Linked DNA regions of Yarrowia lipolytica. The protein of the gene in region 1 interacts with the protein of each later gene in a biochemical or structural test. Links are inferred from orthologs where the notes say so. Each region holds a gene or a part of one and is shown in the gene's direction. Other genes may lie near its edges.

Region 1 (4,369 bases):
CCAGATTTGCCAGCGTGCCAGCGACCGCGAGGAACGGAGCAGATAGTCACGTGCCCGAGGTCGCTGGGTAGAGGTCGCTGGGCGGAGGTCGCTGGGCAGCTGTGTTATTATGCTTACTGATGGAGCTCCAGCACTGCTATTCACATGTTCGGCACCTGTTCGGGTCTGCTCGGTTGTTCTGGTTAAAAGACACAAAGAAACATTGGTAATATCGAGCATTAAAAATCGGTTAGACTGTTGACAGAGGTCGGTACGAGAGATGAGACGTGCCACACAGTCTGGCCTTGTGTGCCGAATAGTCTCCGACGACGTTAATCTCGCTTGTGCCAGTTAGTCCGTGGTCAAGACGAACAAGGCATCTTGTCAGTGGTCGGCGTTTTCACGGACCCTGCCATTGTGGCAGGAATGTCTGGTGGAATCCCTTGCATTACGAGTACATAGGGCGACGATACAAGTATGTCCATCTCGAGGAGTAACTGCCAGTGATTGGAGCGGTTCCTACAAGTCTACATACTGCTCGTGCAATTCGGACTGCGATTCGGACCTGCAATCCGGACTTCAATTCGGACTTGTGCTTGTCAGGCTTGGGGAGCTGTCAGCCGAGACTTTCTGCCCTGGAGCGTCAAAGATCCATAAGGGGTCTTGTACGAGTCTTGTACGAGTACATACTGTACTGTACATGCATTGATATTCACTGGACGATCTACAAGTAGATGTGTCTCGAGCATGGAACGAGGACAGTATGGTTGTATTAGTATGTACATACTCGTTCTCAGTGCCTTACATCCACCGATATTTGGTACTGGCAAGAGAGACTCGTAGATCCACATCAAATGGAATGATTCTGGAGACATGGTTGGCCAAATCATTAACTGGTCGCCAGTCACGTTTTCGAAACTGCCTACTTGTACAAAGACTCGTCATAATTTGTCAGCTACTCCACTCAGATATACCCACCCGTTTCTGAAGATGCAATATCGTCTCCAATTTCGGAACCCTATTTTCGAGACTAATAAAAATAGCCGAGGTTAACGTGGGGAACATGTACATGCACCGAACGACAGATATGGTCCGAGCACAGCATCACGTGAGCCTGTTGCATCACGTGACCCGTTCATATTACCTACAACCATCGTATCACCACCGTATCACCACCGTATCACCACCGTATCACCACCGTATCACCTACCGCCACGCCTTGCACCAACATACATAGCTCGGGATTATGATGCATACCGTTCTCACGTGTCAATCGGGCCAGTTAAAGCCTCCCCCACATTTGGAGAGAGCGAGCTGCGGTAGCTGTAGCTATGAGTAATGCTGCGAGCAGAGGTGAGGTCGAGGACATGTGTCTGAATGGAATAACGACTTCTAGTTATACTCGTACTGTACTCGAACTTGCGTCAACCGCATTGTAGCGGTTCTGGACGGCGCAGAAAACACATAAGCCACCGAAATTACGTCATAGCGTGTGTAAACTTGTGGGGGGAATCGAGATGGCTATAAGATGGGTGTTGGAGAGGGCTGGGGCGAAATAGGAAGCTGCGAATCAACTCTCGACAGTTCCAAGACCCGCCGGAGCGCCCCCCCCACAGCTCCCCTACGCCCGCCTCCAGTTGCCCCCAAACAGCTGCTCCTCTTCCCCACCGGTCCCCAATGTACCGGACCCAAATGTACCCGCCAAACCCAACTCCCTCACCCCCCAAAAGCTAAAATCCAAAACCACCTTGTCCCAAGAAGAACTACGTCATCACGCAACCCATAGTACAACTGTACGTGCCTATCTCAGCACACTCATTAATACGCCAAAAAAAAGCGGACGCGACAGGACGCGAACTCAAGGCGCGCACGGACTCCCTCGACATCCCCAACACAAATCGAACCCAAAGAATCCAAGATAAAGCCGCCGTACACACACACACACACACACACACACGTCACACCATGTCCAAAGCAGACTCCACCTCTCCTACGGCCCGAAAAACGTCAGTGTCTTCGCAGGACTCGGTTGGCACTCGCAAAACGACCTTTGACCTTGAACCCAATCCGTTCGAGCAGTCGTTTGCGGCGCCCGACGATGACAAGAAACGCCATGGAGCTCCTCGACTCTCGCACTCCCGAAATGCGTCTATGGACAACAACCCCCACAAGTCGCCTAAACTGACTCCTCTGGCTAGAGTATTCACCCCGGGAGGCAACCGGATCCTGCCTCCGCTCTCCGAGATTGCCCAGAGCGGATCTGGCACCAACACCCCTTCTGCGGGCATTTCTGGATTCGAAACAGGCCCTCTGTCGCCAGCAATTTTCCTGCAAAAACCACAAAATGGAGGCACCCCAGCAGGATTCCCCGGATGGAATGCTGGCACACCCGGAGCACAATCTCCAGGTGCGTTCTCATCACTCGTGTCGTCCCTCAGACATAGAAGCTTTGCCGAGAGCGGCATTCGGTCAGGTCTGACCCCTGGAGGCCAACTGACTCCTATTTCGGCTGCCGCAGCAGTTGCAGCCCAACAGGACGGCAAAACTACCCCAGGGGGCCTCTCTGCGCTCTTCAATCTCGATACCCCTGAAGAGCAGAAAGCCAAACCTGTTCCTGCTCAGACCGCCCCGGCTCAGACAGTCCCTTCACAACAACCCCCTCAGGGAGCACAGGCTGCCCAACCTCCTCAACCATCGCAAGGAGTCCAGGCTGCTGCTGCTGCTGCCTCCACTGCTCCAGCTGCCAAGGGCAAAAAGGGAGGAAAGAAACGAGAGAAAAAGGACAAGGCTTCCCCTGACGAGCCAAAGGAACCTTTGCCACCCGCTAAGAAGCGAAAGAAGACAAAGACAGAAATCAAACAGGAGGAAGAGGAGGCCGCTGCTATGGCAGCCTCCGAAACTGGGCCCGACGGAGAGCCCATGGACGAGGAGGAAAAACGAAAATGTTTCCTGGAGCGAAACCGGGTGGCTGCTCTCAAGTGCCGACAGCGAAAGAAGCAGTGGCTGGCAAACCTGGAGGCAAAGGTGGAGTTCTATGCCAGTGAAAACGACAACTTGAACCAGCAGATTGCACGACTCAGAGACCAGGTCAAGGGCCTGAAGAGCATCGTTTTGGACTTTAAGAATGGCAATGGAGCCAAAATTCCGGCTGCAACGCTCGATGAGGTGCTGAACACAAACATTGTCATTAATAATGTTCCTGCTCCTGTACCCATTCCCCAAGTCCCTACAATTCCTCAACCTGGGGTTCAGCAGGTCCAACAGATGCCTCCCCAACAACAGGTCCCGCAGCAGCAAGTCCCCCAACAACAGATGGCTCAGCAGCAAATGGCTCAACAGCAGATGGCCCAGCAGCAGATGTCTCAGCAACAGGTTCCTCCTCAACAGCAAGTTCCCCAGCAGCAGCAGCAGCAGCAAATGCCACCTCAGCAGGTGCCTCAGCAAATGTCTCAGCAAGTGCCTCAGCAGGTTCCCCAGCAACAACAAATGCCTCTGGATGGTATGCAGAACGTCCCGCAGAACGCCCACGCCAACCACCATCAGCCAATGATGATGGGCCAACCTATAGAACATGGTCCCGTTGGCGGTGCGCAGGATGGAACACAGATGATGGGCATCGCTATGCAGGCTGGAGGAATGATGCCGCCTCCTAACCCGGAGGAGGGAGATAGACAGCAGGGTATCCCCCAACCGTTGTATATGTAACCAACGTCCAACTAGCAAGCGGAAACTGCAACCACCATTGCAGTGAGTGGACACACAGTTTGCCAGTAACTCTTCTGTTACCTATACCACTATCCCTCCCACAATCCCTAGACTTGAGTCTGGTTATTTATACACAGTAATTTATTGATTGAAAGAGCAGTGAGATGTAGGCTACGCGACAGTATTCAGACAAGCGTCTACAGGGTGCTTTACCCACCTCACCAACTACTTCTACATACAATACCCCGATCTCTTGATAAACCCAACCATGTAATTAAATATGTACAGTACTTGCACTTGTAATTTTATGCATTTGAGAGTTGTTCGACGCGAGTGGCTCACACTCAACACTCACCCAATTCTCTCATCAATCGTCCCCTTCTTAGCCGTCTTCGGCTCACTACCTTCACTACTGGCGGTCTGGGGCATCTCCAGCTCCGCCTGCTCCAACCTGGAATAGAAACCTGCTGCTCCAGCAACATGCTCCCTAATGCCATCAAGAAACTCCTGGAGCAGCTCCAGATGCTCTCCTGGCTCCACAGGCTTGTGTCCTTCCTTCTCCTTACCGGTCTCAATCTCATACACCTTCTTGGACATGTCTGTACCCTGGGTCATCTCCACATCGTTCACCAGCTGTCCAACTCGAGCACATAGCTTGTCAATGTTTTCGGAAAACTGGTACTGG
Region 2 (3,853 bases), on another chromosome or scaffold:
GTCGGACTTGTTTCTGTCATATCAGCAATCCCTACGTTCCTCTTCTCGGGAGGATACCTCTTCTCCAAGGCTAACAAGGGCAAGACGCTCTTCCAGCGAGTTTTCCGGTCGCCCAACGCGTGGGAAAAGGAGGAGAAGGCAGCTCGAGAGGAGGAGCGAAGACGGTTGCGAATGGAAAGGTCTAAGGAGGAAACTGGAGACGGAGGGATAGAGAAGAGTCTGGGTGTGAAGGAGATGGATATGGGAATTGATGACACGACATAGCATACATAATTATTTATACATTGCATGATTAATGATACAGGGGGTGGTGGTTGTGTAGAGCGTACTACTTGTAGTTGTAGTACAGTACAGTAAGTTGTCCATGGTATTTCCTATAGCAAAAAGTTGTGCAAGGACAAAAAAATGACGACATCCGCAGGATTCGAACCTACGCGGGGAAACCCCAAGAGATTTCTAATCTCTCGCCTTAACCGCTCGGCCAGGATGCCTGAATTTTAAAAAATAAAAAGCTCCCGTTACACCACAGGCAACAATTACATCACGTGACCCCCAAGAAAAACCGAGATTAACGGCTTATTGAGAAGTTAAATGATAGGATTTAATAGCAATAAGACAGTAACCTTGTTGTTTAAACAGGGGTTATTTTAAGCAACAGAGTCAACCAAATTGTTCTCATTCGCAGGTATACAGAATCCTGTGATGTTGAATTTGCAGTGTGGGGTTGGTTCATAACAAAACGAGAAAACAATAGAAGCAATAAATGAGATGCAGAGAGTCTATGGAAATGGGTTGATGGCTGACTGGTGAGCGGGTGGAATGTGATTGGTTACTAATATGTGAACTGCTTCTTCTGTCGTACTCCCGTTCTCTCCGACGTCTGAATTCAGATACGACGCCTTCTGACAGCAAATTAGATCCAAACATTGGGTCTATGATGCTGCAAGTCAAGGTGCCAGGTACATGTGATACTCAGATAAGAATATCGCAGTGGGTTTGTTCATATCTGTTGTGGTTTGCGAGTTATACGACGATATCTTTTCAGATGCTATTGTACAATACGAGTGCTCGTACTTGTACGATAGCGACACCATTTCTACGAATGATTCTCGTGTAGTGCTTGTCATTCTCTTTGTGTGGTGGAAAAGAGAACTCTGCGGTCTGCTGTTTGTTGGACTCTAAAAAGCCACCTGTGATTGATGGATGGGTGTGTACGTGTGTGAGGGGAACTACTTGTATGCCGTCTATAGCCGTGTGTGATGGATACTGTGCAGATGGGGGTGTATTTTGCTTGTATTTGTACATAATCGAGTACTTGTACAAGTACTGAGATATTCATTTACAGTATGATCATTCTTCAAGTCAACTGTATCATGTTCCCAAGTTGACAACATAAGCACACCCAATCAACGACAATGCGGCGATAATGAGACATTAAGTGGGGGGATATGAGGAGCGTAAAACGGAGTGATAACGAGCGGGACGGGCTGTGTGTGTAACCATGCTGGCACTCCCGGCTCTCAATTTCAATTCCCCAAGTTCGCCACCTTATATAAGCTGTTCTCTGGTGACCTAGCGTGTGTGCTTGGTTGCTGTGCTGTTCGTTCTTTTTTTGACGTCATGACACGGCACGATTCAACAAAAGAGCCGTGAACGCACAAGGGACGTCGAAAGAAAACAGAAATATGTAACCGGGGCCGAATACCGTGTACCAAAGTCGATAAATGCCCTCACAAGGATCGTAGCCACATTCAGAAGCCCCCCCCCAACCATCTCCGCCAGCCGCGTACCCTGCAGGTTGAAAATTCAAAATTGGTTTGGTGCAGCAAGCACAAGTTAGGTTGGCGATACTCTCGAGACACCACACACACCACACAACTCGCAGCACTACATCACCAAGTGTAGCTCGGACCCCTGTGACTCTCTCTACCGTCTCCCAGGAACAGCGCGTAACATGGCGGACTTTATCCGGACCCAGATCTTCGGCACGTGTTTCGAAATCACGTCGCGATACGTGGATCTCAACCCCGTGGGGATGGGAGCCTTTGGTCTCGTGTGTTCGGCCAAGGACCAGCTCACGGACCAGAACGTGGCCATCAAGAAAATCATGAAGCCGTTCGGCACTCCCGTGCTGTCGAAACGGACGTACCGAGAGCTCAAGCTGCTCAAGCACCTGCGCCACGAAAACCTCATTTGCCTGAGCGACATTTTCATCTCGCCGCTGGAAGACATTTACTTTGTCACCGAGCTGCTGGGCACAGACCTGCACCGTCTGCTCATGACCCGGCCTCTGGAGAAGCAGTTCATTCAGTACTTTCTTTACCAGATTCTGCGAGGCCTGAAGTACGTGCACTCTGCCGGTGTGGTCCATCGAGACCTCAAGCCGTCCAACATCCTCGTCAACGAGAACTGCGACCTGAAAATCTGCGACTTTGGCCTTGCCCGAATCCAGGACACCCAGATGACCGGCTACGTGTCGACCCGGTACTACCGAGCGCCTGAAATCATGCTCACGTGGCAGAAGTACGATGTGGAGGTGGATATTTGGTCCACGGGCTGCATCTTCGCCGAGATGCTGGAGGGCAAGCCCCTGTTCCCCGGCAAGGACCACGTGCACCAGTTCTCCATCATCACCGAGCTGCTGGGCTCGCCCCCAGAAGATGTGATTCACACCATCTGCTCGGAAAACACTTTGAGGTTCGTCAGAACTCTGCCCCGGCGAGAACGAATCCCTCTGGCGTCCAAGTTCCGAAACGCCGACCCCGAGGCCATCGATCTCATGGAGAAAATGCTGGTTTTCGACCCCAAAAAGCGAATAACCGCGGCCGAGGCTCTGGCCCACCCTTACTTGGCACCATACCACGACCCCAGCGACGAGCCTGTAGCCGAGGAACGGTTCGACTGGTCGTTCAATGACGCAGACTTGCCGGTGGACACATGGAAGGTGATGATGTACTCGGAGATTCTCGACTTCCACAATGTGGACATTGACGTCAACGGCCAGCCTCCACAGGGCCAGTTTGAGCAGGTCCATGCCCAGGCACAAGCGGCCGTCGCACAGAACGAGGCTGCCAGGGCTAGGGAACAGGAGCAGCAGCAGCAGGAGCAGCAGTAAACACCCAAACAATGTGGGTCAAAGACGGACAAGGCAATCAGTAATAGGAGGACAGCATGGCTGACGTGATATAAGTGATGTAATTAAGTGTAGGATTATGGAGCAGCGATGTGATGACACGCCATCTTATCGTGAACTAGTTAGGAACATAGCTCGAATTGAACAGATGAGACACTGACGGAGAGAGGGACGATCGTATTGGGGAAGAGGAGTACCAGTTCGTACTGTACTTGTGGTACGTAAAGCCATTTGTGAGATCGCAACTATGGAGTTGCACTGCAGTGGAGCTACAGTATGTACTGCATCTTGACAATCCACTCACAAACAATGTACAATGTTCTGTATCTATATGACACCCACACTACAGGAGGCAGCTTTGGAGGTGGCATGAGAACGCAACATCCCCGAACAAGGCACCCCACCAAGTGGCTGTGAACTTGGAAAGTCGCCATGATATCATTTGATCAAATATCACTGACCAGCAGTTCAGTCCAAAGAACGCATTAATACTTACCATCACCATCTGTTGCAGTTGTTCATCAGAGATGGCAACAGCTGTATGATCCCAGCTTGTAACCCACAGTACGACGACTTCGCGAGAGTTCGACGAATCGAAGAATTGGTACTGTATGTTTTACCGTGGCAACTGCTTTATACCGCACACTGGCTAACTACTGTACTTATACTTGCAGTCCCACATTACACAAATGCAGTAAGTCCCTCTATATGTCAATTATC

The links.
Region 2: of the proteins of YALI1_C24081g (region 1) and YALI1_E30073g, one has a biochemical effect on the other in vitro, tested with the Schizosaccharomyces pombe proteins (5 studies listed by BioGRID). The link is inferred for Yarrowia lipolytica from reciprocal best matches to the Schizosaccharomyces pombe genes atf1 and sty1.

The regions. Positions count from the first base shown.
Region 1 is NC_090772.1:2,405,734-2,410,102, reverse strand, and holds YALI1_C24081g (uncharacterized protein), read left to right. Parts: upstream 1-1,944; coding exon 1,945-3,684; downstream 3,685-4,369. Other genes in the region: YALI1_C24016g (uncharacterized protein), read right to left, coding at 4,036-4,369.
Region 2 is NC_090774.1:3,005,380-3,009,232, reverse strand, and holds YALI1_E30073g (uncharacterized protein), read left to right. Parts: upstream 1-1,954; coding exon 1,955-3,115; downstream 3,116-3,853. Other genes in the region: YALI1_E30109g (uncharacterized protein), read left to right, coding at 1-264; YALI1_E30074g (uncharacterized protein), read right to left, coding at 1,358-1,606, 1,660-1,773. UniProt on the Schizosaccharomyces pombe protein: Proline-directed serine/threonine-protein kinase involved in a signal transduction pathway that is activated by changes in the osmolarity of the extracellular environment. Controls osmotic regulation of transcription of target genes.